6 separate regions of the Mus musculus genome follow, and regions 1, 2, 3, 5 and 6 are each reported to be linked to region 4. The links are microRNA targets in miRTarBase. Many come from high-throughput screens and were not tested one by one. Region 4 holds a microRNA gene; each other region holds the end of a gene's coding sequence.

What was found. Region 4 holds the annotated microRNA mmu-miR-1b-5p (UACAUACUUCUUUACAUUCCA, at 2,716-2,736, shown strand). A microRNA usually pairs through its seed, bases 2 to 8, with sites in the 3' UTR of a target mRNA and lowers its output. Matches are read on the target gene's strand: a 7mer-m8 pairs with bases 2 to 8, a 7mer-A1 pairs with bases 2 to 7 and ends in A, and an 8mer does both.
Region 1: miRTarBase lists Tnrc6b as a target of mmu-miR-1b-5p. Seed matches in the 3' UTR shown: 7mer-A1 at 2,836-2,842 and 7mer-A1 at 4,048-4,054.
Region 2: miRTarBase lists Prmt8 as a target of mmu-miR-1b-5p. Seed matches in the 3' UTR shown: 7mer-m8 at 3,692-3,698.
Region 3: the mRNA of Piwil2 is a reported target of mmu-miR-1b-5p. Seed matches in the 3' UTR shown: 7mer-A1 at 2,092-2,098.
Region 5: miRTarBase lists Ccpg1 as a target of mmu-miR-1b-5p. The part of its 3' UTR that is shown has no 7-base or 8-base seed match.
Region 6: miRTarBase lists Hoxd1 as a target of mmu-miR-1b-5p. Seed matches in the 3' UTR shown: 8mer at 3,812-3,819.

Annotation. Positions count from the first base shown.
Region 1 is chr15:80,928,342-80,933,702 of GRCm38, forward strand. It overlaps Tnrc6b (trinucleotide repeat containing 6b), which reads left to right. Exons shown (of 25, transcript NM_144812.3): 25 at 748-5,361. The coding sequence ends at 1,135. Among named protein-coding and RNA genes, the nearest start is that of Mir5113, 9.0 kb to the right of the region's middle.
Region 2 is chr6:127,685,542-127,690,902 of GRCm38, forward strand. It overlaps Prmt8 (protein arginine N-methyltransferase 8), which reads right to left. Exons shown (of 10, transcript NM_201371.2): 9 at 5,069-5,190; 10 at 3,468-4,367. The coding sequence ends at 4,284. Among named protein-coding and RNA genes, the nearest start is that of Gm38900, 38 kb to the right of the region's middle.
Region 3 is chr14:70,369,785-70,375,128 of GRCm38, reverse strand. It overlaps Piwil2 (piwi-like RNA-mediated gene silencing 2), which reads left to right. Exons shown (of 23, transcript NM_021308.2): 23 at 693-2,652. The coding sequence ends at 849. Among named protein-coding and RNA genes, the nearest start is that of Slc39a14, 21 kb to the right of the region's middle.
Region 4 is chr18:10,782,771-10,788,131 of GRCm38, forward strand. Mir1b (microRNA 1b) reads left to right here and starts at 2,676; the gene lies at 2,676-2,797. The region is part of intron 12 of Mib1 (mindbomb E3 ubiquitin protein ligase 1); the gene reads left to right. Mir133a-1hg (a long non-coding RNA gene) reads right to left here. Exons shown (of 3, transcript XR_877177.3): 1 at 4,660-5,361; 2 at 2,936-3,111. It overlaps Mir1a-2 (microRNA 1a-2), which reads right to left and starts at 2,782; the gene lies at 2,711-2,782. It also overlaps Mir133a-1.
Region 5 is chr9:73,015,071-73,020,070 of GRCm38, reverse strand. It overlaps Ccpg1 (cell cycle progression 1), which reads right to left. Exons shown (of 9, transcript NM_001286544.1): 9 at 4,071-4,739. The coding sequence ends at 4,550. It overlaps Pigb (phosphatidylinositol glycan anchor biosynthesis, class B), which reads left to right. Exons shown (of 12, transcript NM_018889.3): 10 at 1,988-2,201; 11 at 2,500-2,680; 12 at 3,776-4,375. The coding sequence ends at 3,919. Among named protein-coding and RNA genes, the nearest start is that of Pigb, 22 kb to the left of the region's middle.
Region 6 is chr2:74,763,477-74,768,837 of GRCm38, reverse strand. Hoxd1 (homeobox D1) reads right to left here. Exons shown (of 2, transcript NM_010467.2): 1 at 5,085-5,361; 2 at 3,696-4,783. The coding sequence ends at 4,449. Among named protein-coding and RNA genes, the nearest start is that of Hoxd1, 3.2 kb to the right of the region's middle.

The DNA.
Region 1 (5,361 bases), not on the chromosome of region 4:
CATGCTCAGACAGAATGGGGCCTGGGTGTTGGCTTGCCTGCTGTTATGAATGGGATTCTTTGCCTCATGTGGATTTAAGGAAGGAAGGGAAGGAGGGAGGGAGGGAGGGGAAGAAAGAAAGCTGACATTTTCTTCTTGCTTTTGTAAAACTTCAAATTTTTAAAAATTAGTTTAGAATCACAGCAAAATTGAGAGGATGGGATAGCAACTTCCTGAGTACTCCTTCAGTGGTTCCTCAACCCATTGTTATCACTCCTAGAGTATCCTTTGTTACAGTTTCCAAGCATCCCTTAGCACCTAATTCACCAGCGTTCACAGTTCACGTTAGGGTTCTGTTCACTTTCTGGGTCGGTGGTGGTGGTGGTGGTGGTGGTGGTGGTGGTGGTGGTGGTGGTGGTGGTGGGTGTGAACAAACAAGTGCTGATCTCCTCACCTCACATCATTCAGGGTTGTAAGGTTGCCCTAAATATCCTCCCCTGCCTCCCTCCCTCCTTCCCTCTGCCCCCGCCCCCCCCACCTCAGACACACGCACACACACAGGCTGGAGACATAGCTCAGGTGTTCTTGCTTGGCATGAATAAATCCCTACGTTCAGTCCCCAGTACTGCATAAACCAAGCATGATCGCCACACCTGTCGTCAGGCATGCAGACAACACAGTAGCAGAGGGCTGACAGCTGTACACCACCCCACCCCCACCCCCTTGCTGGCGATCCCTCGGATCACGTGACTCTTCTCCTTTCTGTAGGTGTGTGTTGGGAAACACTACCATCCTGGCCGAGTTTGCCACTGAGGATGAAGTCAGCCGCTTTCTGGCTCAAGCTCAGCCCCCTACGCCTGCAGCCACCCCGAGTGCACCTGCCACAGGGTGGCAGTCCCTGGAGACCAGCCAGAACCAAGCAGACCCCGTTGGACCTGCGCTGAACCTTTTCGGTGGGTCCACCGGGCTCGGGCAGTGGAGCAGCAGCGCTGGTGGCAGCAGTGGGGCCGATCTTGCCGGCACTTCCTTGTGGGGCCCCCCAAACTATTCTTCTAGCTTGTGGGGAGTCCCGACGGTGGAAGATCCCCATAGGATGGGCAGCCCTGCTCCTTTACTACCTGGTGACCTTCTGGGAGGAGGGTCGGATTCAATCTGAACTTAAACTTTCAACTCTGACCTCGTGACCTTTTTTGGAACAGCAGCAGCACTAACTTGACCTTTTCGTTTTTTTTTTCAACTTGCAATAAATACATTTTTAAAAGGAAAAAAGAAAACGGAGAGAGAAAAAAGGTGGGTCATTGACAGACTGTCTGAGCACATAGTTGCCTCCCTTAAAACTTCAGTTTTTTCGTTTGGAATATGAATCCAAAAAGAGAACATATCACTCTTGAAATACTTGAATCATGAACGCCAACCTAGAAAGACAATGTGAAGCAAGTACACATACCATTTAAATTTAAACACAAAAAAATTAAAAAAATTAGTTTCTAGTTTTTCACTTTTTTCATGTTATATGGAAGTTGTTGCTAAGAAACATATATACTGAAAAAATAGCTTTTTAACTTTGTTTGCACTGGGTGTGTTTCCGTCCTTAGGTCTACCATGTTTGGGTGGGAGGGAAATTCAAAAGAATTGTTGGGGGAGGGGGGAGGGAAGACTTGACGGAGCCTCACTTTAAAAACAAAAACAAAAAAACTTAAAAAAAAAAAAAAGGTAAAATTTTGTGATTGGCTGGTTGATAAATACCAGTGTGTTCTGGCACATGTAACTGCCCAGGCATGCTCGTTCTGGTATGTGTGTGCACGTGTGTTCATGTGCATTTGCGTGCATCCTCCTCTCTGTCTCTCTTCGTGTGCCTGCGTCCTGCCCTCCTCGTCCTGCCTCGCCCCGCCCCACCCCCACCCTGATTTCTCAGAAAGCTGCATTGCTGACAGTTCCAAAGGCTGGCTGGCCGGCCATCCGCTTTTCATTATTTCTGACTATGAGAACACAGGAGCACAGGGAGCCGCTGCAACTCAAGCCACTTCTTCTGGCTGCCTCGAGATGAAGGGTGCTTTTCAGTGACAGAGCAGCAGCCAGAATGCGGGGGGGGGGGGGGGGGGGGGGGGGCGGGGAGGTCCCCAGCTTCTGTCGACCCAGCTGCAGAGCAGAGCACTGCCAAGGCCAGAGGTGTGACAGAAGGCCCCTCCCTCCAAGAAGCTGCTGCTCACCTCTGTGCTGTGAAGTAAGCAGCTGCCTGCCCGGCAGCAGGAGTCTAAGGACTGAGCTGGCCAGTTGGCTACTTTGAGTGAGAACAGACGATTCAATAATTTTTAAATCGTGTGATGTTTTAAAAGCTGAAAAACAGTTCCCACTTTGCTGTGCTCGTCGGGTGTGAGAATTTTTTGAAAGGATTCAGGTAATGCAAATTCAATTACTTCTATCAGTTCTCATTATCATGTGAGGAAGACAGTAAGTTATGAGCAGCCTCCTGGAAGCATCGCAGCGCCTCCCTCTCTGCTCCCCTCTCTCTCTCTCTCGCTGAGCATTACCTGTGCCAGGCCGTGGCGTGTTACAGCACCAGGCCATCACTGACAGAAACGTTTACTTAACGAATGTTCTTAAACCAGTGTGTACTTCAAGTGTCTCCCTTTGTTTCTCTGTGTTGTTTCCTGTGTATGTGGTTTTGCTTAGGCAGAAATAACTTAGCAAAGTATTGCACCTTGTTTTGGTTTTGACCTCTTTTTTTTTTTTTTCTTTCCTTGTAATGTTGGTTTTTTTATTTTGGTATTTAAAGACTTTTTTAAAAAAACATCAATGTAGTAGTTCTCTGGGCCGAACAGGAGGCAATGTTTAATCCACAGTTATCACCAATACGTATGTACTATGTTGGAATCAAAATATATCAAATTTCTTATTGTGAAGAGAGTGAAAGTAAACCCGAAGGGGATCCTCACGTGCTAAATAGATGGCGGGCGGGCGGGCGGGCGGGCGGGCGGGCGGGCGTGATGTGTGCGGGGAACATGCTAGCACTTGTGTGATATCCCAGTCTGCATCGTACTGTCTGTTCAACATGAAGTGCCGACATTCTGTACCAGCAATTACCTGCCCATTCCAACCCCTGACGGGAGCAGACCTCTGCTGTCCTCTGTGACTTGCTGCTATTGAGGACAAGGGAGTTTTTCTTTCTTTAGCATCTTCAGTGAAGGATACAACAATGCCTAATGTATTTAACTTTCAGCTTGTGTCTTTGGTGTAGGTGGGTAGAGGGGTATGGATAGGAAAAAGCAAACAGACAAACAAAAAACCCAAAATTGCATGTAAGTGGCTTTGTAAGACAGTGAGTGGGAAATTCTGTAGTCGTCTTGGCTTACCTTGTTGGGTATAAACCTAGCTTCAGAGGAGGCTGACGGGGCACCATTCCCATGAGCACCTGTGCTTAACAATCTGGGCGCCCTTGGCAGGTGGGTAGGCAAATGAGCGTGCAGTTCTGGTTTGTTCCTGCAACACCTTGTTCTCATGGACTCTGCCTTCCTCCTGCTCTCTGGTTTCCATCACCACCACCCCCTCTCACCTCTGCCCTGCAAAATGTCTCCTTCCAGCCCCACTGACTCTCAGTGTTGGAGCAGAGCTCTGTCGCAGGTGATGACGTCCAGGTGAAGCGCCGCTTATATTCAGACATCTGCAGACTGAAGGCTGAACTTTAGTGTCCCCAGACTCCTGGGAGCCTGTGGGGACTGTCCACTGCCGCTCTTGGTTCATGGCCCTGCCTATCCTCTCCTCTGCCCCTGCTCCTCTTTCTGCCTGTTGGGTCCTTGACCTGCACTATGGCTTAGTTGAGTTCCTTACGATACTACGGTGAAAGCCGGGTGCTAGAGCCCCTCTTGTTTACAAGACATAAATGAGGGATTTGAAATATGTAAAAATAAGCATGAGAAGCTAAAATGTTCTTCCATCATAAGCTTAAAGGGAAAAAAACTAAAAACTTAAAAAAAAAAAAAAGACCAAAAAGTGCGTGTGTGTGTGTGTGTGTGTGTGTATATATATATATATGTGTGTGTATATATATATACATATATATATATATATGTATGTACATATATATATGCACATACACACATACATATAAATATATATTTTAGATGAAGACTAACTCTGGGAGCATTTAACAGTGTTTTTGTTTTTTATTTTTAACATTATTTTCCTGCTTTAAAATTTGCAAGCATTCTCAGGAATTCTAGGGTAGGAAGCCAGTTTTTTGAAGATGGTTTATTTAATTGTATCTTATCCTAGATAGACAGCTGTTTCTTTCCTGTTAGTAAACTTTTACAAGTTCCTGAAACTTCAAAAAGTTTAAACGATTTTTACTTATAAAAATGTAAAAAGAAAAGTCTCCAAACGTTATTATCATACAGGGGATCACACATTTTAAAATACATAGAAATATTTTTTAAAAATTACCAATTTAGCAGCAACAGGTAAATTCATTATCTTAACAACTGTGGGAGAAGGCTCAGCCATTCTGAGTGTTGTCACCGCCTTGCTTGACATTGTGCATGGCTTACTGGGGGGGTGACTGTTGAGCTCGTAGGAGTGACACCACATTGTTCCTTCTGTATGAGGCTGGACTGACGTCTCCCCGTCATGTTTCTGTTCTCCAGTGCAGCCCTTCTTCTCCCTGGCTCTCCAGCCCCATCAACAAAAGCAAGGAATAAAGAAAGAAACAGTAGCTTAAGCAAAAGGATCGGCTCTAAACTGTGGCAGTGCGGTTGCTGGATTGCTGAGAATCTCTGTAAAGAGTTAGGAAATATAGGTTAATAATTTTTTAAACGAATTTTAAATATGAGCATTACTAAAGGAAAATTACCTATGGACTGTTCTGTTGGTGAAAAGTGTGTGTTTCGCCTCCCATCTGTTACAGGAGGAGGAAACAGAAGAGTCTAATAAGGAACAAGTGGTTTTACTTTTCATTTTTTATTTAGCTCCCAGCTACTGTTTGCTTGTTTTAAATGCTGTTTTGAAGATCTGCTGCTTACTCCCCCCATCCTGGGAGGCAGAGATGTGGAGTGTTTCCTTTTGATTTGGGTGATGTTGAATTCTGCTTTTGTATTCCCTCCTGGGGCCAGAGGTCTTGGCCACAGCTTCTTTCAAACTTTAAGCTTCCCAGTGGGAAAGAAACTCCAGCTCCACAGGTAAAGTGAATGGGTGGGGTTGTTGCCTGCATTCTCTAAAACCGCTTTAGTGCCTTCGTACATACACCGACATCCTAAGCAGGGGATGCGTGTGCGTGTGCATGTGGTCCAGTCACTCCACGGTCCACGGTCGGTATGATGCTTGCCTGTAAAGGAAATTGGAGTGGTTCTGGACAGGCCCCAAAGGCAGTGGGCTAAATCAAAATAAACA
Region 2 (5,361 bases), not on the chromosome of region 4:
CACTGACTGAAGCTCTGCCTGTAATGCCTCTTGCCCTTCTAGACCTCATGAGCCTAGACCTCAGGACTGGCTTCCAGGCTGTGTCATGGAAGTAGAATGTTGCACGTGTATCATCTCTATCAGGACAGTGAGGGATGCCTGGAGTCTCCTTTGTCTTTGAAGCTCCTGAAATGCTTTATATTAATCCCATCCTTGGCCATCTCCTTTGCCAATGGTGAAGCTATAAGGCAATGGTTCTCAACTTGAGGGTTGTGACCCCTTTGGGGGTCAAATGACCCTTTCACAGGGGTCACCTATAAGACCACCAGGAAACCATATATTTGCATTAGAACTAATAAACAGTAGCAGAACTACAGTTATGAAGTAGCAACAAAAATAATTTTTATGGCTGCAGGGAGGTCACTGTCATATGAAGAGCTGTATTAAAGGGTCACAGCGTTATGGAAATTGAGAACCACTGCTCTAGAGTCTCATGAGTAAGTGGTTGTCGCGTCTGCTCTCGACCAGCAAGAACGACACAACACAGTCGAATTCTTCTCAACCGCCTTTATTGCAGGAATGCCTCAATGCTGCTACGGGGACCCAGGGAACCCAGGGAGGTATGCTTATATACTCTCCAGCACAGGGAAAGGCTTCATGGCCCCCTGGGATTGGTCAGTCTGCCGGCACCTAATTTGCATGCACCTGCTCGGGAGGGGTTGGCGCCAGACTCGGGGGGTGTGGGGGGGGTGTTACACCTGTGCTGATGTTGTTTATGACAACGGCACACCTGGCGCCCGGCGCCATCTTAGAGTTGGCTTCTTACAAGTGATTACTTTCTAGAAGCCACTTCACCAGGCAGCATCATTGCAGGGGTTTTTCTGGGTCCTTTGACTCATTCCTCAAGGAGAGGTGTCTATAAACTAATGACTACCATCAGAAAAGGGGATCGCAGAGGTATGAGTTTGGGACCAGCATATAGGAAGGATTCTCTGCTCTGTTTGCTCTGGCTGTCCTGAGGCTGAGGTGCTGGTAGATGTTTGATAAAGTTGCCTTAGCAGATGTTTTGAGAAGAATGGCTTTTTGCTGGCATCCAGAATCATCGCGGGTCTCTAAATGATGGGTTGGGGCACGGGCTTTATGGATCATGGGTGCGATCTGAGCATGTTTCCGAAGTCCCTCTGAGTGAAATGAGCTACGTCTCATGGTCAGTCTTCACTGTCAATCCTAGTGGATTTAGAATCAGCCCTGGGAGCATATCTCTATCTGTGTCTTTAAGGATATTTCCAGAAAGATTTAACTGAGGCAAGGAGGGCCACCCTCAGTGTCAGTAGAACCATCTCGTGGGCTGGAGTCCTGGGCTGAATAGAGGGGAAGGGCAAGCATTCACCCCCTCCCCCCTGTGTTTGACTGTGGATGCAATGTGCCCAGCCACCTCATATCTGCCACCCGGTCCCCTGCCATAATGAACTGTTCACACCCCAGCCACCATGTCTCCCCTGACATGAGGAACCACACATTAAAAATAAATGTATTGAGCCAGGCGTGGTGGCGCACACCTTTAATCCCAGTACTTGAGAGGCAGAGGCAAGCGGATTTCTGAGTTCAAGGCCAGCCTGGTCTACAAAGTGAGTTCCAGGACAGCCAGGGCTACACAGAGAAACTCTGTCTCAAAAAACCAAAGAATTAATAAATAAGTAAAATTTAAAAATAAAAATTAAAAATAAATGTATTTGTTTTTAATACAGCAGGAACCCTTCCCTAAGCTGCCTTTGCCCCCAGTGCTTTGTCACAGCAGTAAGAAATGTAACCAAGCAACTGTGTCTCATACTGGTCCTGCCCAGGGACTGAGACTCGCGTACACTCTCAGGGAGGGAGTAACCTAGGGGACTCAGGCAAGCCAGCATGAAGGAAAGCTGAGTGACTTTATTTCTTGGGATTTGTAAGAGTGAATCAAATCTCCCAGAGACTAAGAGGGTGAGGGAGTCTCATCAAGTTCCTGTGGGCTCAGAGGTTCAAAGTACCCCAATCGGGCCCATTACGTAGCTAACAATTATTTCTTGGGAAATCCTTTGATTAGAGAATACAAGATGTCTTGAGTCTTTGCTGAGTGTGAGCTGATGGCCACACCTGATCCTGGGCCAGAGTCCTTGGAAGCTTATCTTCCAGGCTTATCTCAGAGGCCGCAGGATAAGAGGCCCAGAGCTTAGTACAACAGTCGATAGTCCTGCAGGTTTCCCTCTTCTGTCCCCAGAATGTCCCTTTTCACTTAAATTTCTTTTTCTAACCCAAGGTTTTGTCCCTCTCTTAAGTTTCTTTGTATTTCTTGTCTGGCATATACAGATTAAATTATATAATTCCCACTGATGTTTTTTTCTAAAGACAGCAAGAGTGTGACTGTTTAGGTCGAGATTCTGAAGAATCAGCCCAGGGCAGGGAAGGGCATGCAGAAATGGGATCAAGCCTGATTCAGCTCTGCACAACCTCTGTGGTTTCTCTCTGGGTCCCAACATACCTCAGCTACAAAGTGGGTGATAAGGATTTTGTTTGTATCTTCCAAGGCTTTGAGGAAGTTGACAAATTTCCTAATAGAGTTCTAGAAATGAAAGAGACACTACCGTTGGGTTGCTTGTTATTAATCGAGGACTCTCCATGCAGAGACTTTATGAGACAGAGACTTTATGCAGCTCCTTCCATTCTAGGATAGATAGCCTTTGGGCTAACCTTTATCAGAGAAAAGTGTTAAAATCCCTCTAGTAGGGTACTCAAGAGATTGGAGGTTGAGGTTCTGGAGAGCGTTGTGGGAGCCTCTCATAGAGTCAGGCCATGCTGGGATATGTGGTCCCTGTCACCACCTCATATAACCCATTCTATTCAGACAGTCCCACCTGAAGCAATTCTTCACTGGTATGCCTTTCCCCTGCCTAGCAAGGCTCCCCTCTGCATCTCCTGGGCGCCACCAATCCACTAAGGACTCCATCTTTCAATGAGCCCCTTTGCTCCTCAACACTTGGAATGTCTCTCCTATGAGAGACTACAAAGGTGAGACTAACATTCCAGAGGCCAAAGAATAACCTAGAAACAAAGACCAAGCACTCTACCAAGTCTATCAAAGCACATCTTTCTATCTTGTGGAAATACTGTTTCCATATGCAGAGCAGGCCTGAAGCTTCTCGGTACATGTTCAGACTGTAAGAGGCTTCCAGGCTACATGAAAGCACTATTGGTCACTTTCTAACCCCCCTCCCAGCACCCTCAACTCCACAGCTCCAGGACCCACTTGACTCCTCAGGGCAGGACCTAGGTATCTACAGAAAGGTGTGTTCAGGCTAAGAAAATTATCAGCTGCTCCTTCAGTGAACAAATATAAACACTAGTAGGACCTATGCCCCATGATTTTCTGTCCTACTGTGGCCTCTTACTACCCACCGTCCCCCTCCACCCACCCTTACCCTCTAGAGCATGAGGGAAAGAAAGAGGTACTCATTGCTTCTTTCTCATGTGTGTTTATTGAGCGCCGACAGAGCCCGTGGTACTGTGCTCAGGATTCAGAGCCACAGTCTAGTCAGAACGAGACCAGAGCTAGTCCACAGAATGTTTCATAGCTGTGTAACATCTGTTACGGGATCAGGATGGGGAAAACTAATCACGAAACAAATTCCTATTCAAAAGCAACAGAACCTCCTCTGAGAGTAATATAGATTCTAGGCACACATACTCACCACACACACACACACACACACACACACACACACACACCCTCAGAATGAACACCCAACTATGCCCACTTAGTTGTATATGCATGCATATACAGATGTTGGTGGGCAAGTAAATTAATATATATGCTGTACACACACACACTGGCACACGCACACACATACACTCTCACACAAACCACCACACAGACAGAAAATCTGGCTTATGCTATCAAAGACACTATGTCTCCAGGTTCTAGCGGAAGTAACCTGTCCTAGATGTCTGCAGCATGCAAAACTTGAAAGATCCAGAGAGTCAGTTTAGGAGAACAATGGGGGCACATGGGTATGCTTCCATCCTCAGAGCCCCAGCCATAGCACGGAAGGCAACAACAAAGCCTTTGTGAAGGGCTCCAGGGGCAGAGCAGAGGACCTGGAGGCTCCCTGTGATGGCGGGGGCCCAGGAGAGCCCTGGGCAAGTTCGCCAATCTTCAAGGCAGAGTGGAAAGCTCTGGTTGGTGTGGTCCTCCTAACAGTATTCCTTGGGGCAGCGTGGCAGACTGAAGTGAGTGCCTCTTCTTGCTCGCTCTCCGCAGCTTCCCACGTATGCTAACGCATTTTGTAGTCATTAGATACAGATGTTTCACACAGCTGTCCCTTAAAATCCAAGTCTACTGTGAAATCGAGGTCTCGCTATGAGGAAAGAGCAAAGGGTCACAGAATGAGTCTGGGTAGGAGATTGTAGCCCTTCCCAGGCACAGAACTTCTCATGGTGCCATGGGGATAGGTAGCCACGGGAGTTCTAGCTAGGGGGACTCCAAGACCAGTCCTCAGGAAACCATTCTGGTACCCCATTATCCTCACAGAAAGGGCTCTGATAGCTAACCTAAGCCTTCCTGTCCTCACATGAAAGCAGTCCTGGCTTTTATCCAGGCAGTAACTGAGGTCGGTGGGTCTTCCTTGATATTACCCTCAACCACCCTGCAGACCTTCAGCATCTGTGCAGAAACAGGGGCATCTCAGAAAGGTCCCACCAGGTCAGCTGGAGAAATAAACCAGACACTTGCTTTTCCTGGCTCAACTCACCCTAAATGAAGCAGAACCCATTTATACAACATCCATTCTCAAAGGCTCTCCTGGGAGCTTCCAGGAGCTGTCCTCAAGGTTGAGGTCGGAGTCTAGGAAGCCTCTAGCCATTGGAGTTTGGAAGAGTCAAAGTTGAAGTCACCCAATTAGGCCTTGGTCACCTGCAAACACAGCTGCTGTCTGCCTCCCCTAGAAGTTGGTCCATTTGTACACACGGCATTAGACTAGGTGGGTGACTTCTGAGAGCTCCCTAAGAGTCAACTCTGTGTTTCCCTTGGCCCTGGCCATGCAGGGATTCCTAGACTCACCACATTTTTGGCATTTGGCTTCATGGATATGGTCCCGTAGATTTCCTCCCCTCTCCGGACAGTGAGGTAGTCTTCTAAGTAGAAGACAGTCTGCTTCCAGTGGGTGTAGGGGGCATCAGGGGCTGGAGGTGGATGAGAGAGAGGGAGAGAGAGAGAGAGAGAGAGAGAGAGAGAGACAGAGAGACAGAGAGACAGAGAGACAGAGAGACAGAGACAGAGACAGACAGAGACAGACAGAGACAGAGAGACAGAGATGAACAAGAGTCAGTTGAAGCCAAGAACCTAGGCCTCTG
Region 3 (5,344 bases), not on the chromosome of region 4:
AGAAGGATGGATAACCCCTGCAAATGACTATGGCATACTACCACAATTATGATGTACAGACCCAATAGACTGGTGAATGCCCTTTTATAGCCTTTTCCTTTGTGGCTTTTTCTGATTTTATTGTATTATACACACACGTATGGTGTTTTGCCTGCATGCATATATGTATACCACATGTGTGTTTGGTACTTGTGGAAGTCAGAAAAGGGTGTCAGATCCCCTGGAACTGGAGTTACAAATGCTTGTGAGCTGCCTTATGGTTGCTGGGAACCAAACTCGGTCCTCTGGATACCATCACACTTGTGCTGACTTACTTTACCCATCCTTTGGCTTATGTGAAAATATAAACAACTCCAGATGAAAAATAATGGTTTCTCTCTTGGACAGACCTAGTGGCTCACACCTACAGTTCCAGCACTTGAGAGGCTGAGGCAGGAAGATCACTGGCAACTCAAAGCCCACCTGGGCTAGTGGAGTTACTAGCCAGCATAAGCCAGATAGTTGAGAACCTGTACCCCAAACCAAACTAAAGAAAGAATTATAAAACTAACAATTCCTGAAAAACAACAGTAGGTTTCCCAGACTCCCCCAGTCTGTTGGTAGGAGTGCTGTGTTGTATCCCCAAGAGAGTGAAATCCTTCCCACCCCTAGGTGGAGGTAGAAGTGATAACACATTTTCTTCTTAACTTTAGGTTGACTTTCAAACTATGCCACATGTACTGGAATTGGCCTGGTACCATCCGAGTTCCAGCTCCTTGCAAGTATGCCCACAAGCTAGCTTTCCTGTCCGGACAGATTTTGCATCATGAGCCAGCCATCCAGCTGTGTGGGAACCTGTTCTTCCTGTAACTGGGAACTTGGACACCGGCTGCAAGGAGCAACTGGACTCAGCTCAGCTCCTCCTTACAGAATCAACAGAAATGGCAGTGGAATTTTATGTTTGCATTTTCTCTTTCTCCATCCTTGTAGAATTAGATTTCTGTTCTTCTTTTAACCCTGATATCATAGTAGGGTGTTGTGGTGCATGCCTTTTATCCCAGCACTTGGGAGACTGAAGCAGGAGTATCTTTAGTTCAAGGCCAGCCTAGACTACATGGTGAGTTCTAGGCTAGCCAAGATTACAGAGTGAGACCCTGTCTCAAAAAACAAAAACAAACCACTGTCCCCTCAAAGCCCACAACAAAACCAAAGCCTGGGGTCAAGGAAGCAAGTTTGTAGGTAGCCGCTGGCTGCCCGCTGCCTTCATGGAGTGTGTGCCGTCAGCGCTGCTTCTCCTCAGCCGAGCGTGGAGCTTCGGACAGGGCAGTGATGACATGTTCTTAGCATGTCAAATCCCCCTACCAAATAAGTCAAGCAAGGAAAAAATAGCCCCCAAGGCAGCCTGAGCATCAGTTCCTAGAGGTTATGCCTACAGAACCATCCTATTTCTGGTGGCAGAAGTGACATGAAGTCATTGCAGACATCTTAAAGGAGAGTTACTGTGCAGCTGTCTACATGTGTGAAAGACATGTAGAAAAACCAGCGTAGGGTACAGTCGGGCGTATGTGCCCACCTGACCCAGGGCTGTGAGTCTGACTTCCCGAGAGTCTGGCTAGAGCTGCTTTTCTGGTCCTTTTGGTTATTTGCAACCATCATCAGATTGCTTTCCTGCAGCCCGACTGATACACGCATGTGCGCACGCACACACTTTTGTTCTTTGTGACTAATCTTGAATAAATTCAATTAGAACACATGGAAAGGATTCAGCAGACCTAGGAACATTTGGGGTGGAGTGTAGTTTTTCTGCAAAAGTCTGTAAATGAGATTACGCAAGAGTCTCTTCCAGCTGTGGGCTGGTGTTGCTTGGAAAATTTCAAAATCCCAAAGTTTCAGGCTTCCCAAAGTTGGCTTGGAAAAATGTGATAGTCTCACCTGAGTCTAGACATGTAGGAAATTTTCCTAGGGCCTCTGGGCTTCAGTATTTGGGGGAAGCACTGGTTTTCTGTGTTATTTTTTTCCTTCTGTTTCAGAATCTTCAAGTTTCTTCAGGCTTCAGTGGGCCATCCCTTTACTGGGCTCTAAAAGCTAATTTTACTTAACCTTTTCAAATGTGTATGTATCTATTTATGTTTTGGTGTGGTGGATGGATGGTAGGGGACTGAGCAGAAATAGTCATTTTAAATAACAGTGTGCTAGGAGAGCCTCAGTGTGAAGTCCTGAGGAGCAGCGGGGGCTGTGGGAGTCAGTGTCAGCCCTCACTCAGACAGGCCAAGCCTGGGCTCGAAGACAACATTGTCCAGGGAAGCCTTTAGTTTGCTATAGCACCCAGAGGTTGGCGAGGAATAAGGGTTAGGGTCCTCAAATACACCCATGGCTTTTGGAGTCTATGACCAAGGCCAGGCTGAGACCTGAAATGTAAAAGCCATAGAATTAAACAGAACAGACTGAAAAACGAGTCTTAAGTTCCACTTTCTGGATTTCTCTGGAAGTCTTTTGAATTTGTCTGTAGAAGTTGCTGTTCCTAGCACTCCTTTTCTCTTTAGGTAGAACAGATACTTGACCATAATGCCAGAATGTACTTTCTCTGCCTTGGTTTTTCTATGCCTTGTTTTTCAGTTTCAGGGCCAAACAATTGGGCCCTGTGGTGTAAAATAAAAACAATGTATGTGTATAGTTGTGTCTGAGAGAATATTGTTTATTAAGTGGCTTTTCCTTCAAAGAGAAGCAAAAGTTAGAGTTATTCCTTTATTATTGTGCGTGTCAGGGGCAGCACCATTGGGAACAAAGTGATTTCACCCTGAGCAAACTGGGAGACCTACATAGCAATGCATTAAGTTTGTGAATGTGTTTGAATCATTTGGGGCTTTGGGTAAATAAGAACCCTCACCAGCTTACTAAGAGAATACTCTCCACTAGTATATTTTCATCAGGGTGCTAAAAAAATAAATATAATTACTTACTTATTTTATTGATTGATTGATTTTTCAAGGCAGGGTTTCTTTGTGTAGCCCTAGTTGTCCTGGAACTCACTATGTAGAATGTAGACCAGGCTGGCCTCAAACTCAGAGGTCCACCTACTTCTGCCTCCCAAGTGCTGGAATCAAAGCTGTATGCCAACACCACCTGGCTTGTTAGTTTTTCTTTCTATTTTTAAAATCAATTTATTTATTTTTATTTCATGTGCACTGGTGTTTTGCCTGCATGTATGCTTGAATGAAGGTGTCAGATTCTCTGAAACTGGAGTTACAGGCAGCTAGAAGCTGCCATGTGAGTACTAGAAATTGATCCTGGGTCCTCTGGAAGAGCAGCCAGTGTTCTTGACTGCTGAGACATCTCTCCCTTTGTCAGTCTTTCTTAACAGTTACTGTTAGCTCAAGAAAGAACCAGTAAGCTTTCGCCAGAAGTGACCTCTCTACCATTAAGAATTTTTTTTAAGTTACATTTATAATATGTAGGGAGGCAGGGAGATAGAGGTCAGGCCTCAAGGTCCAACACTTGGGAGGCAGAGTCAGGAGGATAAGAAGTTCTCGGTCACCTTTGACTATATATTGAGTTTGAGGCCAGGCTTCAGACATGAGACCCTATCTCAAAAAAAAAAAAAGCACACCAGTAAGATGGCTTGCTGGATGAAGGAACTATGCCCCTAGCCTGATGATATGAGTTCCAGGAACACACACACACACACAAACCCCCAAATAAATGTCCCTGTTAAGTACACTTTCTGGTGTGTCTGTAACCATTGGCCCAGTGACAGTAACCTGCCTCATTGTTTTTATCACTTCCAACCACATGCCTTTACAACCCTGCATTTCTTTACATTTGTTAAAGAAACTCTATGTTTTAGAGGTCTTGTTTTGTCCCCTTCCCCTTGGTTTTTTGAGACAAGGTTTTTGTGGTGGTTTGAATAGGAATGACCCCCGTAGACTCATGTGTCTGTATGCTTGGCCACAGGGAGTAGCACTATTAGGAGGTGTCCTTACTGAAGGAGGTGTGGCCTTGTGGGAAGAAGTGTGTCACTGTGGAGGTGGGCTTGGGTTCAGTTATGAGCACACACATGGTGACTCACTACAATCTGTAACTCTGGTTTCAAAAGATCTGCTGCCTGCTGATCAAGCTGTAGAACTCCCAGTTCTAACAGCACCATGTCTGCCTAGAGGCTGCCATGCTTCCCACCATGATGGCTAAAGCTCTGAAACTGTAAGCCAGCCCCAGTTAAATGTTTTCCTTTATAAGAGTGCCTTGGTCTTGGTGTCTCTTCATAACAATAAAATCCAAAGTAAAACAGTTTCTCTGTGTAGCTCTGGCTGTCCTGAAACTCACTCTGTAGAGTAGGCTGGCCTCAAAAGTCAGTCAGAGACCTGCCTGCCTCTGCTGCTTGAATGTTAGGATTAAAGGTCTAGGCCACCGCGCCCGCCCGGTTTTTCCTCCCTTCTTAAATGAGGAAGTTCTTGATCTCAATCCAGGAAGTACCTTACACTTGCTGTGTTGGCTTTACTCCAGCAGCATTTTGTTGAATGAAGTGAAAAAGAACAGTCTAGGGATGACTTGCTCTTTTATCAAAAAACATTTTTGAAATCCCAGGGTTGAAGCCTGGGATTCACAGAGACCTGGGCTTGAAAAGACCCTGTTTATCATTTTTGAAAATAAGCTTAGTTTTATCTGAGCTCTTTAGTAACTTTTTCTGCCATGGATTTGTTTTTTGGTTTTTGTTTTTGTTCTTTCTAAAATCAAGAGAGTATAAGAAAAGCCAAAGAACAGCCAGGCAGTGGTGGCATATGCCTTTAATCCCAGCACTTGGGAGGCAGAGGCAGGCAGATTTCTGAATTCGAGGCCAGCCTGGTCTACAGAGTGGGTTCCAGGACAGCCAGGGCTACATAGAGGGGGAAAAAAAGAGAGAAAGAAGAAGGAAGGAAGGAAGAAAAGAAAAGAAAGAAGAAAAGAAGGAAAGAGAAACAAAAGCCACAGAATTGAAGAAAATACTATTACCCAAAATACACATAGAATTGTCAAAAAGGAATAGTAGCCATTAATCTGAGCACTCTGGAAATAGAGGTAGACAGGCCTTGTGAATTTGAGGCTAACCTGGTCTACAAAGCTCAGTGGTTAAGAGTACCAATGGTCTCCTAGAAGACTTGGGTTCAATTCCTGCACACACATGGTAACTCACTACAATCTGTAACTCTAGTTTCAGAGGATCTGATGCCTTCTTCTGGCCTCCGTGGGTACTAAGCAAGCACATGGTATGCAGACATGGGCAAAACATCCATATACACACGAGACACACACACACACACACACACACACACACACACACTACAGTAACAATAAGAGGCTGGAAGCATAGTTCAATGATAAAGCCCTGTAG
Region 4 (5,361 bases):
TTTATCCAGTTTAGTTCTTCCAAATAAGGTTGACAGTTGCTAGGTATTTGCTTTTAGTTACAGTTTGTATGAATTGAGTAAGTTGAGATGTAATTCATGCTCATAAAACACTGGCTGTCCATGTGTAATCAATGCATAGCTACAGCTGGTTGAAGGGGACCAAATCCATTGAAGAGGCGATTTGGTTCCATTTTACCAGCTTTAGCAAAGCATTGCCGCTGCTGGTGTAGGATCCAAACAGGTTAAATGCTCTTTTGTAGAAATATAGCATGACAGGTATTAGAGGTTCCCACACTAGTGTACCAGTTGTTAAACAGAAAATTCACGTGTTTAGGCATATGTCCTACACTGCTGTTCTTGCAGCTCACATCAGTGCATCTTTACTTAGTTCTTAAATGCACACAGTAGCCTTTCAAAACCAACATTTGAAAGAACAGATAAATCATCATGTGTTTCAGAGTAATGCTTCTAAATTATCACCATGTTGGTTTGTTCATTCAGGTCTCTGTGTAGTCCTGGCTGTCCTGGAACTCACTCTGTAGACCAGGCTAGCCTCAAACAGAGATCTGCCTGCCTCTGCCTCCCAAGTGCTGGAATTAAAGCAGTCTGCCACCATGCCTGCAAACCAGGTTTTTAAGTAATTAAACTAGATGTTGAAAAAGGGTCATGTTAGCTACATATTTTTGTACTGCTTCTATTTTAGCTGAGGACTTAACAAGTTCTGATACGGAGTGGAAGGATAAGAATGGCCTTAAGAAAGTAACTCTGTCCTTTAATTTATTAATACATCACACATATCTTCAGTGTCATTCTTTGCTTTTGTTTATGTTGGCATACTAACCCTAAGTTCAGAAATTAACCTTCTTAAAAATCTATTTTATTGAGGTGGGGTGGGGAGGAGATGTGGGATGTGGAACAGTTGGAGGGTAGAGGGGGGTGGGGGTGGGGAATGGAATGTGGAGTGTAAAAAATAGATTAAAAATAAAATAAAATTTAAAAATCTATTTTCTTGACTAAATTCTATGCTGTTTTGAGTATAGATTGTTCTTATTATAAGGTTAGTGATACATTGATGTATGGTAGTTGGCTATAATCCCTGAATTTTGAATATTAAAACCTACCATGTGATACTTTAAAACCAGTACTTAAGCATTTGATGTGATTCTGTTGGAGATTTCCTGCCTGAAGAGAATGTCTTCTGACACATACTCATACAATAAAAGTTTGATATATTATAGCTTGTCTGTAAAATTAGAATGCTGAGGGAAATACCATATAATTTTATTTTTTTAAACTAATATGGTAGAAGGACAACACAATCTCAGACAGTATGCAAATAGTTTAATATTCTATTCTACATCTGTTGTTAATTATTGTGCTTCTGGTGAAATTAATGTAATTTTAATTCTTTGCATCATTTTTTCCAAATAGTGAAACAGGTATTTGGTTGCTTAAACTTAAGTGCTGAAGATAGCACTTGCCTGGTTCTATTTTAGTAGGTCCCTGGCAGCCAGTCAGCAAGTGCAGTTGCTCAAGTGTGCTTTTGGATCATTGAGTTTCGTGTACTGGCCATATCAGGACAAGGAGAGGCCATGGGAAAAAATAGTCCAGCATCTGATAGTGTCAGCATCTGTTATCCCTGTCAGGGTGACAGTTGAAGTGTTTGAGTAATAGCAGTGTCAGCAGATGCCCAGAGTTTAACATGTACTCACTTCAAAAGGGACAGCTGATCTAAGTGCTGGATGTGACATTTCAAGTGATTCAAAACACTCCTAGACAAAAGCTGAACTTGGAAGCAACAAAATCAGTTTTCAGTTTTATTTTATAAATGAATAGCTAATATTCTCTAAGGATTGTAACAAATTATTAGTTGTGAAAATGTTTCTTAAAGAATTATGAAAACCTTTCAGACCTGTGGAATAACTAATGTAGCTGTTCATAACTCATTGTGAGAAAAACAATGTCATTTGATATAAGCAAGGACAATACAGACTCAGGTTTTTGACAGTTTGTTGCCAATATATCCTGTTTACATTTTAGTTGTGGCCTAGGGTTTTGCCATTTTTATCATTCTTTTTCATGCTGTAAGTATTAACTGCACTTAAAGTACAGATTGGGTTAAGAACTGACAAGCTGGAAAAGGACAAAAGCCAGTTTTCATGTGTGCAGTATAATTTTACTTAAAAGATAGTCTTTAAACATTATAGTTTCAATAGCTGTCAGAAAAGAAAATAATGAAACCAAAATTTTTGGCTTACGAGATCCTCTGATTTTAATAGGTTATACATTTTGCCACATGTGAAGAATAGCTATTATATGAGTAAAATCAGCTTTTTGTTGCTTTATTTTTCTTATTAGATTTGTTGGTCCTGATTTGATAGATGTGAGACACTAAAATATCCAATTGTGAAGACAGATAATGGTTGATCCTGTGTCTCACTGTTTTGCGCTAGCAATACTATTTCCTCTGTAGTAGTCACATTTTAATCACGTGAGTATTCAGTGTAGAGTGTAGTATGATTTAATGTGAAAATTAAAATCCACTTCCACGGGACTTATCTCTTCAGTACAGTATAAGGGATGTTAGTTTTCCCAGTGAATGGCTGGTCCTTTTGGAATGGGGCTGTTAGTATTACAGGTGAATTCAGAGTATGGAAGTCATCCTCCTGGAAAGTTTCCTTTAGCTTCTTCTTGGCGGACATTACCTACCCAAAATACATACTTCTTTACATTCCATAGCACTGAATGTTCATATGGGTACATAAAGAAGTATGTGCTCTGAGTAGGCACTCCTGCGCCGGCCGATAGCTGTGAAAACATGAAGCAGCCCACCTCACCCAGCTGTTAGTAGGACATTTGGATTACTTTTCTGGAAGAGTAATGGATCCAGTGCGGAGATTAGCTTATCAGAGACTGAATTTTACAACAGATTTACCTGATCCCATCAATGCCACTTCTGCTTGTGGTTCTTTTAAGCACTGCCATGCTTTGCCCTGCTGCTTCTTTTCCAAGAGATGCAGTCAGCAGAGTCTTAAGTGTATTCAGAAATGTTAGCACGCTTGCTGCTCTCTCCGTCGTGCCTCCCTCTTCTTTATAATTTGCTTCTAGATCCTTTACAGACAGATGATAATCAATTTAGTCTAAATTGTTTTTATAAACCAGATACTTCTACTTAAAACTTATTGGGAGAAACAAGTTACAGTTAGCACAGGCTTTGAAATTGGATCATTTCATTGTGTGAGTGAATTAATGTTTTTAAATGGAAATTTATTTTCAAGGTAACAGATTACAAATCATTTAGCCAAGTTTTTGTTCTGTTTCTGTTTGCATTGAATGCAAATTCAAATAGTTACGTGCTTGGTTTGTATGAGATTACTTTTTAAAAATGGTTTTTAATATAATGGAAAAGTACTAAAATAACTTTTCCAAAGTCTCCATAAAAGAGGAGAAGCACTTTAGTCTGTGAATCTCTGGGTTTTACCTTGAATATTTAGCACAAGAAAAAAAAAATAATTTGGGAGTGGCCTATAGTCACTAAGACATTTTGAAGGTTAATTCAAAAGGAGACATTGAGAAGCTTTGAGATTTGGTAAAGAATAGAAAAGGGGGTGCTGGGAGGGAAGTGGGGGAATAGGATTTCTGCAGTCCATGAAGAAAGCTAGTAAGCTGCCAACGCGGGCCTCAGTCAGCAGTGCCGCTGAGACCTGCACCGTGCAGCAGCATGCGGATGTCTGTGGCCTGAGTAGTAAGCAAGGGGAGACATTTCATAACCCAAATCTTGAAGTAGCCTTTAGAAGCTATTGTGCTCTGGAGGCAGGGATGCAGGTTTACTAGAGGAGCGAGACACAATTGAAACAACTGTTTAATTGAAAACAATAAAGACCCTGTCTGTAGTGATGTAATGTTAGTGGTAGATTGTATATTTTTGAAGTTATCTGGCATGCTGTTTGAACAATGGCATTTTTAAAACTAAATTATTAATTTGAGCTTTGAAATTAGCCTATGCCCAGATATAAATTAATTTAACAATGAGAATATATATCAGTCAATATTAGATAAGCATGCAGAAAGTCAGAAGCGTCCTTCCAAGTTGGTTCTTGTGCTTGATTTACCTGTGAGCTTAGTGTCCTGCCCCACTTACAGGGAAGAGATGTAGTGACCTACAGTAACATTGCAGTCACCACATCATGACCGTTCTTTCACACTGCTGCTGTTTCAGCACTGGTTTTATAAGCTGGGTGAGGTAAGCACCCAGTGTAAGTGAACACAGAACCTTACCTTGTAAGATACATTTGAAAGACAAGTTAAATATACAAAAACAACGTAATTTTACCTTTTTCCCTTGCTCTTCTCATAGACATAGAAAGACACATATACACAGATGTGCATGCAGGCATGCAATCTCTCTCTCTCTCTCTCAAATTGAATCAACATTAGTCATATAATTTAGAATGTAATATATCAATTATATCGATATGTAGAGAAAGTTAAGTAATGGGAAGGTTGCTACAGTGGCAAAGAGAATGTACCTAGGGTTTTTGTTAGATGAAATGATTTACAAGAGGGGAAAAGTTGCAGAGGATGTTAATTTTGTAATCTAAGATTTAAAAAAACAAACAAACAAACAAAAAACCACTGCAAGCAAAACCCTAAACACACCTCACATTCTCCCAATTAGCTGCAAGCATTCACCCAGTTTCCTGTGCCCACCAGACCATACTGGGTTCTTCTGGTGCCTCAGGAAATATTCTGCATCTTTCTTGCTTTGGGATTCTTTTGGAGGAGCAGGAGTTTGAGTTTCCAGGGTTAGTGGTAGATCTGGAGTGAAGCTACCTTGTTATATCCAGAGGTCAAGTCTGCAAGCGAGGTCAGGACTCCCACATAGTCACCACAGAAGCCAACCTATGTTCTTCCCGACTCAGTGGCCACAGCCTAGGCTGCTCGAGCTTTATAGGCAGCTAAGCATTTGAAACATGCACTCCCAGGCAAACAGACTCTCTTGTGCCTCTCTCTTCCCTGACCATATTTAGTCAGCCATAGCAAAAAATAGTCTCTCAGCTGTCGATTGTCGATCTAAAAGCTGAGGAGGATTCTATCTTGCTTTCTGCCTATTGATTGTTCTTCCTGTGGTCCCAACACTGCTTTGCCATTTGTCCTGCTATTTTTTTTTTAAGTACTGCTAAATAGAGCCGTGTCTCATGTTTCCACTTACATTTCCCAGATTCTCCCCGAGCTTGTGCTGAGACTAGGAAAACCTCACGCGGCTGTCACTATACTTAGAAGCCCTGAAGAGAAAAAGGGCGGCGGGGGTGGGGTGAGGTGGGGTGGGGCAACAAATTTGCCCTGGCTGGTAGCAAGACA
Region 5 (5,000 bases), not on the chromosome of region 4:
GAGCATTTGTTCTGAGTTCCAACGTGTCTATCAACATTACTTATGCACCGCCTCAAGACGGATTCTGTGTTCTAAAGCCAACGGGCCAGGGAAAGTGGTACCTGTCTGCACGCCAGCACTCTAACAGCCGAGGCCAGAGAACTGCTGGTTAAGGACAGCCTGGGTTACATGCATGGCAAGAGCCTGTCTCAAGGGGGAAAAAAAATTGAAAACTCCAAAACAGCAGGTGTGGTGTAATCCTTGTAATCCTTGCACTTGGGAGGTAGAGACTGAAGAAACCAAAGTTCTAGAGCAGTCTAGTGAGACCTGGGAGGCATGAACTCTAGGCTCCAACTCAGGCCTGTGTGGCAAGACCTTTACCCCTGCCACCCCTCCCAGTCCTCTGCCCTGGAAGCAGCTGCTCAACCAGAAGATCTTGCTGTAAGTTGCCCAGGCTAGCCTTAAACTTGCGCCCCTCTTGCCTCCAACTCCCTACTAACTGGGGTCACTGAGATCACACACTACATAGTCTCCAGTTAATTTTGATGTCTGATGTTCACAATTCCACTATAAGGTCTTTCTTGGGGGATTTAGTATTTAGGTTGTGGTCAGTGAAAAATACGGCTTTGTTTCCTTACGAGAGCTGCAACCTAAACTTCCTGGTGCCTCTGCCTGTGCAGAGGTTAAGATACAGCGCAGCTTGCCCTTCCCCACTGGTTCTCCAGCTAAACTACCCCTTTGCTTTTCTCATGTAAACACCACAACTGACTTAACAGCCTTCCTCCCCGGCAGTGTTTAAAAATGTAAAAATTAACATGTATTTCTAAGTGACAGAACATACTAGAGAAGGCAATGGGGACTTTTCCTTGGCTTCCCCCCAGCCCCCGGAGTCAGGGTTTCTCTGTGTAGCCCTGGCTGTCCTGGAACTCACTCTGTAGACCAGGCTGCCCTTGAACTCAGAAATCTGCCCTGCCTCTGCTGTGCCACCACTGCCCAGTGACCGTGAGGTTTTTTGGTTTGTTTTGGTTTGTTGTTGTGGTTGTTTAGCATTTCTTGCCACTGCAGCACAGGAAATGGAATGACTAAATGAAAGCTCAGGGCTTCCCACTCTCTCCACGATGTGAACCACCCTGGTAAGTCACCGTTGGAGAAGACTGTGTGGCAAAAGGTAAAGCTGGGCAGTGAGAAGGCTCCAGAGCTGAGGTACAGCTAGTCTGGCCCACACAGCTAGAGCCCTTCCAGTGCTCCGTCCAGTCAGTGTGAGTGAGCAGGGTTAAGATGTGGCTCATAGGTAGCTAGTACATTTATCAGCATGATAGCACATACCTGGAATCCCAGGATTTGAGAGTCTGAGGCCAGCCTGGGCTACATAGTAAAACCCCATTCCAAAAACCACAAAACCCACAAGCATACAAAGAGCTAGTTCACATAGAGCGGGAGCGGTTTGTATTTGTGTTGAGATGGAAGCCAGGCAAGCAACCTGGCACTTAGCTACATCTCAGCACAACACTTCTTAGGACCAGACAACAGGAGCAAAGTAGGCACTTGGAGTGATGCTTCTGAGAACTACACGTCCATACTACATGCAAATAAAAACACCTACTGGGTGTGGGATCTAACTGGGTATGTCTGAACAAGCAGTATTGCTCCTGTTAAGAAAATCATGAATCTTAGTCCAGGATTGCTGTTTAACTATGCCCTTCCAATTGTCCTGGAATCAAACGTCAGAATCCCCTTGGAAATCTTAGGATGTCAGATGCCCTCAGAGACTTAAGTCTACACGTTAAGACTGGACAGCCATTACCCACACCGTGCCTTGACTGACTAGGCGGCTAGACTTTGCCTGAGAGTGCAGTGGTGGCGAGTGGTCAGAGATGACTCGCTGCCTGTTTGAGTTTGCCTCACAGTACCACTGCTTATGTCTGCATGGAAAATCATACAAGTGTATTTGCTGATAACAGGAACAGGAAGCTGCCCGTGTTCCACTTACCCACCTATCTCCATGCAGGTTACTCACTAGCCCACCTGAAGACATGGAGGAAGGCAGCCCTGAGCTTCCTGCTCTTGTCAAATGTGCCACTGGCATTCTACACTGGCCTAGTTCATCAGAGAGGCACCCTGGATGTCATGAATCACATTCAGAAAGTCTGCCCCCGAGGTCCTGACCCAGCTTCGGCCTCAGTATTCATAATGATGCCCTGCCACTCCACGCCTTACTACAGGTGAGGAAGGCAGTTCTGCCTGGGCTCAAGGTCAGCCTGAAAGGACATGGAAACTTGGACGCTTGTGCTTGCTTGCACTCGCTCTCTCTCTCTCTTATTTATTTTATGTGAGTACACTGTAGCTGTCTTTAGACACACCAGAAGAGGACATCGGATCCCATTACAGATGGTTGTGAGCCACCATGTGGTTTCTGGATTTGAACTCAGGACCTCTGGAAGAACAAATGGTCAGTGCTCTTAAGTGCTGAGCCATCTCACCAGCCCAGGGTGTCTAACTCTTTGGCCCTTTCTTCCACAGCCATGTTCACTGCCCACTGTCCATGCGGTTTCTCCAGTGTCCCCCAGACTTGACTGGAAAAACTCAGTATCTTGATGAAGCAGATATGTTCTACTTAAACCCCTTAAGATGGTTACAACAAGAATTTCACAGCAATGCGTCACTCCCCACTCACTTGGTCACCTTCAATGTTCTGGAGAAGGTATGTCAACTCAAAGGTTTTCATTCGATTAACAACCATCTGCCTCACCGACCCCTCTCGCCCTCTGTATGAATTGGTTCTCTAATGGCTGCGGCCAAACACCTGACAAACCTGACTTAAGGAGACAGGCTTCACCCCGGCTCAGATTCAGGACAGCAGCCCAGCGTGGCCGAGGCAGCATGGTGCTGGGTGGAACAGCGTGGAACAGGTGGATCATACTGGGTTGGTCTGCTCTTCCCTTTATTCAGCCTGGACCACAGCCCACAGGAACGTGTCACCCACATTCAGGGCAGGTCTTCCCTCAAGGCTTTAAAAACTTACAAACTTAGGAAGTGTGCTTCACTACTGCCTTGTATTGTTTCCTCGTTGTGTACGTGTAACCATGTTTCTGTGTACACACGTGGAAGGGCCAGAGGTTCAAGTCTATCGACGCCGTCTCCTGTCCCTTTCCACCTCATTTTCTCACTAAACCTGGAGCATAACAACTGTGGCCTGCCACAGCCTCCCAAACCCTCTCTCTGCCCCACTCCAATGACCCACTGTTAGGGCTACAGTTATGTGCCACCATGTCTGAGCTATTTTTGAGACAGGGTCTCACAATGTAGCCCTGGAACTCACAGAACTCCATCTGCCTCCCAACCGCTATATAGGACTAAAGACACGTGCCATCCCACCCAACTCCCACGTCCAACTCTTCATGTGGGTTCTAGGGGTCTGAACTCAGATCCTCACGCTTGGTCAGCAACCAGTTGACCAAATGAGCCATGTCCCCTGCCCACCCTAATGGCTGGCCTCAAACCCTGAGATCCGCCTGCCTCTGCCTCCTGAGTGCTGGGATTTAAGGCGTGTGACACCACTGCCTGTGTCTAATAGTTTCTTAATCCAGTAAAGTTGACAAAATATAATGATTCCCATAATTGATCCTTTCCCCAGTAAAATCAGCTGTTCTGTAACTTACTAGATATGTTTAGCTACCAGAGTCACGCCTTTCAGAATTGCTTCGAAAAGGAAAAAGTCACAAAAGAAAAATCGTAATTGGCAACTCTAGAATTCCTTGAAGTCGCACTCGGCAAACATGTCTTTATTTGCTTGCAGGAGATCAATACCTTCCTCACCTCAGGGAACTACGAGAGGGCCGCTACATTCTTCCACACTCACTGGCCAGAGCGCCGAACTGGAAGTCACATACACGTCTACGAGCGAAGGTTACCCGGCAGGGTCAACACAGGAGGGAACTGAACTGTAAGGACTTCTGCAGAGACGTTGGCATAACTGAGAGAAACTGTAGGTGACCGTGAAATGAGAGGAAGCCACTGGGGACAGCTGTCCCATACACTGTCCTGAGGCATTCTCAGAGAACACAAATACGGCGCCAGACTTGAGAGAGACCTTTAGTTTTCCTCACGGTGCAGTTTATTGTTTCTTCCATAGCATTCAGGTGTGCAAGAGAGTTCACAAGACAAGCCAGCCAGCTCTTCACAAACCAACGGGCTCTTGAACCCACAGAGAGACAAAAGCGTGAGAGTAGAGATGTTAGCGCGGAGTCCCGCCTCAGCACAGTCCTCAGGCCCTGCTGCACACCTCCACACGGCACGAAATGCCTGTGTGAGCTGAGCTCAGCTCCTCAAACCAAGCCCTGTTTCATGCACAGACTATTTCATGCCTGGCTTCCTTAATAAAACTACCATTTCCCCCACCCCCCCCCAGCAGGAAAAAAAGTTTTTGTTTTTAACAAACCTAAGCTACAGGAAAATGCAAGTTAGTAAGCTTTGCTTTTGCATAATATAAAGACAGTCATGGGGAGTTCATCTCAACATCAAACCAAGTAGATAGCATCCACAGCTCTTAACTTCCTAACTTAATCACAAATCAGTACTTAGGATCGAAAGGTAACTGCCCCAGTTCTAGCTCAAGATTTGCCGTGTGTCTTCCGTTAGCGCGACCGTATTTTTGCCATTTACCTTCCCTTTCATAAGGCTGTGGATGAAGGTGCTTCTGCTCTTGTTTTCGGTGCCTGGCGTTTTCAATAGTTACCATACGTTGCTTTTTATCAGGTCGACTGAAAGTAGTAAACACATTTTTTTAATCTATGTTAGAGTTCAGTTTTCTAAAAGTAAAAAGAACAATGTTTTTCCCCACTTATCTACCTGAACACTGCAAAAAGATAAAACAGAAAATAACATCCTACTCTAATTCCAGGAAAAAGGGGTATTATTTCAACACTGAAGGAAAAAGGGCAGACATCAATACTCCCGCACTGGCCGGAAGGGGAGGCCTGACAGGTGACGAGGAGCAGGAATGTAACCATAAAATAATGAGG
Region 6 (5,361 bases), not on the chromosome of region 4:
TAGGCAGGCCAGGGGCCCAGAGGCCCAGAAGAGCACATGACTGGAGGGTGCAATAGAGTACCAACCAGCCCTCATCTCCCCTTATTTGCTAGCTGATGCATTTGAAAGAAATCAACAAGGGTTCTGGTTCCTCAAAGTTGGGAGAAAGCAACAGTGCCTGTCAGCAGGAGCAAGGACTGGTCAATGAGATAAAGAAATCAGTTCAAGGAAGAGGTGGACAAGCATTTCCATGAGCCCAACAAAACCGAAGCTGAATTCATCGGGATCCTTTCTGGTCCCATGAAAGCCTTATCTCTCAGCCATAGTTTTGTATTCGTCTTCTTAATGGAGCCCTTTCAAACTGCATAGGTGCAGGCTCCTGATGATAGGATGTACTCAACAGTTTGATGTCCCCTAAAAATGCGTTGCAATTGCCTGTGGCTTGTTTTGTTAACTGTTGCAAGTTCAAATGACCACTTTCTGGCCCTCCTTTCCCAATGACATCAATAATAGGATGTGAAGCAGAAGAGATAATGTTGAAAGTTCTACAAGCTAAGTGATAGATAGTCTTTTTCATATGAATATTTAGGATCTCTTTCCTCTTAGTTTATTATTGAATTTAATTTAACAGTTTCTGTTGAAATTATATTTCTGAGCAACAAGGATAATTTAAGAAGCAATTACAAATGAGATGTTCAATAGAGCTGTTTTGCATATTTATTGCATTTTCATATCTTGGAAACAGGATAGAGGTAAAAAACAATGAAATCTTGATTTCTATTTAGATAGAGATTTATCATTATTTGTGAGATATGTCCACCATGGTTTTACTTTAAAACCACAAATAAAGTTTTAACAATGGGCATTTTTCTTGTTGAGAGGTCTGTGGTCAGACTAAACATCTCACAGAACCTGATTAGATCCTGAGGTTTTCAAATTCAATATTCAGCAAGTATAGAGCACTTCTTTGGCCATAAGAAATAATTAAGAACTTCGGGGCTGATGTAACTTGCCTGAGCCTGCTTCACTTTCTATGATGACATGATAATCAGACATAACCTCTTCTTGTATTGTGTCCCGTCACACATAGGTTTGAGGCAGAATAAATCACTCATGATTAATCTTTTCACAATCTAGGTGGCATTGCTTTAAGGTTTTTCCATCATCAAGGTCTTCATTTGCCAATAGTCAAGTTAGAGAAATTTTATGTTATTGAATTCTTTCCTTTTCCTCCCAATTATCTTGAATCCAGAAAAGTAGACACTCTGTCATTATATGAAGACAAAGGAACATTGAATACTTAATTATACAACAGCCAGAACTGTCCATTGTGTATTCATTCTTATAATAGATTGCTGGAGGGTGAATTAGCATATTTAGTTTGAAATCTTGTGAGATATAAATGGGGTTGTTTTAGTGGCTACTCTTTGCATGTCAGCGTCAGAGTACAAAGATGGCTGCTGTAAAATAGCACAGAGCTCCCACTAGTATGTAGGAGAGTGTTCCCTAAGTGAATCACATGATAAGCTGTGGTTGACGATGTCTAAAATCCACCTTTTCTGAGCTCCCGCAGTGTCCCTGTGATCCTACAGACTTGCTTCCCTAGCAACAACTTTTTCCACATGGAAATCTGAAAATCAAATACGCAAAAGCCATTGAGTCGTAGCATTCTCTATAGTGTTTCTTTACTGGAAGAGATCTCCAAAGGTCACCTAGTTCGTCCCATCTCCAGCCAGGACTCTTCCTAATACTGAATATAGCTGTATAGTGATCTGCATTAAGAAAGCTTTTAAAGATCCCTGGGGTTGGTCAAAAAATAGCTAATATTGGCCTGATTCATAGAACAGCATTATATGAATGTCAAAATAGCCACCTTCATCAAGGAAGACATCCATCAGGGCTGTTAAGTGCTAGGGCCAGCTTCATGAGAAACACACTTTACTTTCTCAGAGAACGGGTGGTAGATTAAAGAAATGATCCAGGGTGGTAGTAGTTTTTGTTTAGGTAGTTCAATGCTTGTCTAAAAGGAAAGACTAGTCATGTCAAAGACCACAGCAGGAAACTCTTAGAGGTGACTACAGAGGAGCAATTAAGTAGGACTTCTAACAAGTCTTTTCAAACAGCTGTAGAATGCAGAGAGGAAGCAGCTGTTTTAAGCAAGATCTGATCCGCATCAAGTTATTGAGAGGCAAATAATAAAACATGAGAATAATATCAACAGACCTACTCATAAAGTGATCTCCTCCCCCCCCCCTCCAACAGCTGAGGTTGTTAGAACTTGAATTCTTTCAACTCCATGAGATGGTAGATGAGGACAAGAATTCAGGTGCAATTTCACATTCCTATCACATTGCTGCGTATCAAGAAAAGTCATCGTCCACTGTTGTCTAGACTTTTGAGTTATCAGAGTTGGCGTGCTTGTACTACAGCCTAAACATAATAGCATACAGTTTCTGTGGGACTCATTTGCACCTTTAAGTCTTTCTGTTGAGCTATCTAGAAGTCTTAAGGAAGTGGGGAGAAAGTAGGAGAAACATCCTAACTTGATAAAGTACCCACTTGCTTATATGTGTTTCTATTGCACTTTTCTTCCCCGTTTATGTAACTGCGAGGTAGCCCAGGAGCCCTGCTGACTGTGGGCACCTTCTGCAGAAGGGAGACTAAGTGAAAAATAAGAGTAGAGGGTTTTGTGTTTTGTTTATTTGTAATCTACCCTCTGGCCAGATTTCAAGTTGTACCTCTTCTAAGAAATTAATTTAAAAATATTCCACTGTTAAAAACAGACAAGTAGCCAGTGGTTTTGGCTCACACCTTTAATTCAAGCACTTGGGAGGCAGAGGCAGGAGCATTTCTGTGAGTTCAAGGCCAACGTGGTCTACAGAGTGAGTTGCAAGACAGCCAGGGCTACCCAACCTTGCCTCAGAAAACTAAAACAAACAAACAAACAAACAAACAAACAAGCACCAGACAAGTACCCTGTGTTCTCAGCCAGAGCCTGATCTGGCTTATAGGAAAAGAATGCTGGCTTATAGGAAGAGGATGCTCTTAATTCTGGCTCCTCTCAGCCTCCTTTAGATAGGAAATCGGCCAATGGGAACTTTTGGGTGGGCAGCGGCTTTGCTCAGAGAACACAAAGGATAAAGAAACAAAGTCTTCAGGTCACCTTTCCACTTCCTTTTGTGACAACAGGAGAAAAAGAAAAAGGAGATCTCCCCAAGTGTCTCTGGATTTTCAGCAGTCCTGTAATGGGCTCCCAGCCCTTGAGTTAATGTGCATGTCCACCATAAAGCTCAGGGGAAAGAACTATTTCCGTAGTGTTTTGAATTTAGCAGAGTAGCTCTCTGCTATGTACATCAGATTTGCCCAGATAATTATGGATTATTTGCTTTGTGCTTACAACCTGTAAGAAGCGTTACTTTTGCCGGGCGTAGTGGTCCATGCACACTCTTAATTCCAGCACTCAGGATACAGAAACAAGCAGATCTCAGAGTTCAAGGCCAGCCTGGTCTACAGAGTGAGTTCCAGAACAGTTAGGGCTACAAAGAGAAACTCTTATAAAACAAAACAAAACAAAACAAAAACAAAAAACAACGAAGAGGAGACGGTGATGGTGGGGGTGGTACTTTTAGGTCCCCAATGTAAATAAACTCCCATTTTGAAACTGGATCAGCTTAAGGAATCAAAATGAAAGGGATGTAAGAAAAGGCAGAGAATAGTAGATTCTGTAACTTTTATTACCAAAAAAAAAAAAAAAAAGTCAAAATCTTTACATGCTATGCATGACATTAAATGTCATATATAAGGTTCACTGCAAGCAAATCTTTAAAAAATATACATACTGTATATATTTACACTTCAAGTTTGAGTAACTGATGCCAAGGTATAATTCAGATTCTAATCCTTACCTACCCTGTGGATTTGTTCCGCTACTAACTAAACAGTGATTGTGTTTCTTCACCCAGGCACACGAAGAGGTAGGAGCGCCACTTTAAATAAACAAACTGGAGCACAATATGAAGATCATCATTGAAGCAGCTTAGCTACATAGAGGAAACCCTAGCTAGCTTTGATCATCTCAGGAAGCTGAATATATGTAGTCTGTCCAGGAAATTAAAACTGAAACAACTTCAGAGAGATACGTTTCTGACCACACTAGACTAAGAAGGCCTGCCACTCTGCACCCGAGAATTTTAAGTGGCTCACATAGCAGCGTTTAGGCAGGTAGCTAAGACACCTTTCCTCCCCATGAGGCAAAAATAATATGCGAATAAAAGATATCAAATATATATCTCTATACACAGCCTCTGGAACTCAGAAGCCAATTTAGACAATTCCTTTGCCAAGTAAAATCCGTATTAATTTCTACCCATGCCCACCTCCAGCCCAAACTAAGCTCTCAAGTCTATTCAAAGGTGGGGAGCAGTCTGTGACTTCTGTAGACCCAAGGTCCTCAGCCTTAAGAGTGGGCCTCAGGAAGGCTCTTGAGCCTGAGAAGGGCTTCCTAGATTCCGGCCAGATTTGATGGGACTTGTTTCTGACCGGGGAAGCTTAATCGAGGCCACAGAGGCAGCTGTGGCCAGAAGCCCCTCTCGTTCCCTCTTCTTCTGCTTCATCCTACGGTTCTGGAACCAGATTTTGACCTGGGTGTCATTCAGCTGTAAACAGTTGGCTATCTCGATGCGTCGGGCTCTAGTTAGGTACTTATTGAAATGAAACTCTTTCTCTAGCTCTGTCAGTTGCTTGGTGCTGAAATTTGTGCGGATGGCACTGGGAGGGCTTGTGGCTCCATATTCGGACAGTTTGCCTGCAACATAAAGACAAGGTGTGAGCAGGAGGAGGAGATGCTGAAACTATCCAGTGGAGCTAAGACTTAGAATCAAAGTCACAGCGCAGCCCTCCTGAGTGATGGACACAGCTGAACCAGAAGAAGCGCTCTGCTGAGGCCTCTCAGCTCCTGGGGCATTTTCTGACCCTGGGCTCTGACCAGGGCTTAGGAGTAGAATCTCTCTCCAGGGTTGGTGGCCACACGCTCCCGGCTCTTCACGAAGGAGGCGCCCCCCCCCCCCGAACCCCCAGGTGCCTCCCCTCAGCGCCCACCTCCTTACTTTTCTTGGGGGCGTTCCTCTTCACTTTCATCCACTCGAAAGTGCTGTGGGCGGCCGGGAGGCTGGAGGTGGGAGAGGCCGGCTTGGGGCAGGCTCCAGGGGCCGGGGACACAGTCTGAAAGGGCCCGGGGTGGCCGTCTGCGGGCTCCTTGAGACACGCGGGGAAGGGGCCAGGCTCGCCAAAGGCAGCGAAGTCCACCTGGCCGCTGAGCAGGAATGATCCCCCGCCGGAGAAGACCGCCGAGGTGGCATAGTGGACGTGCGCCCCGCCCTCGTC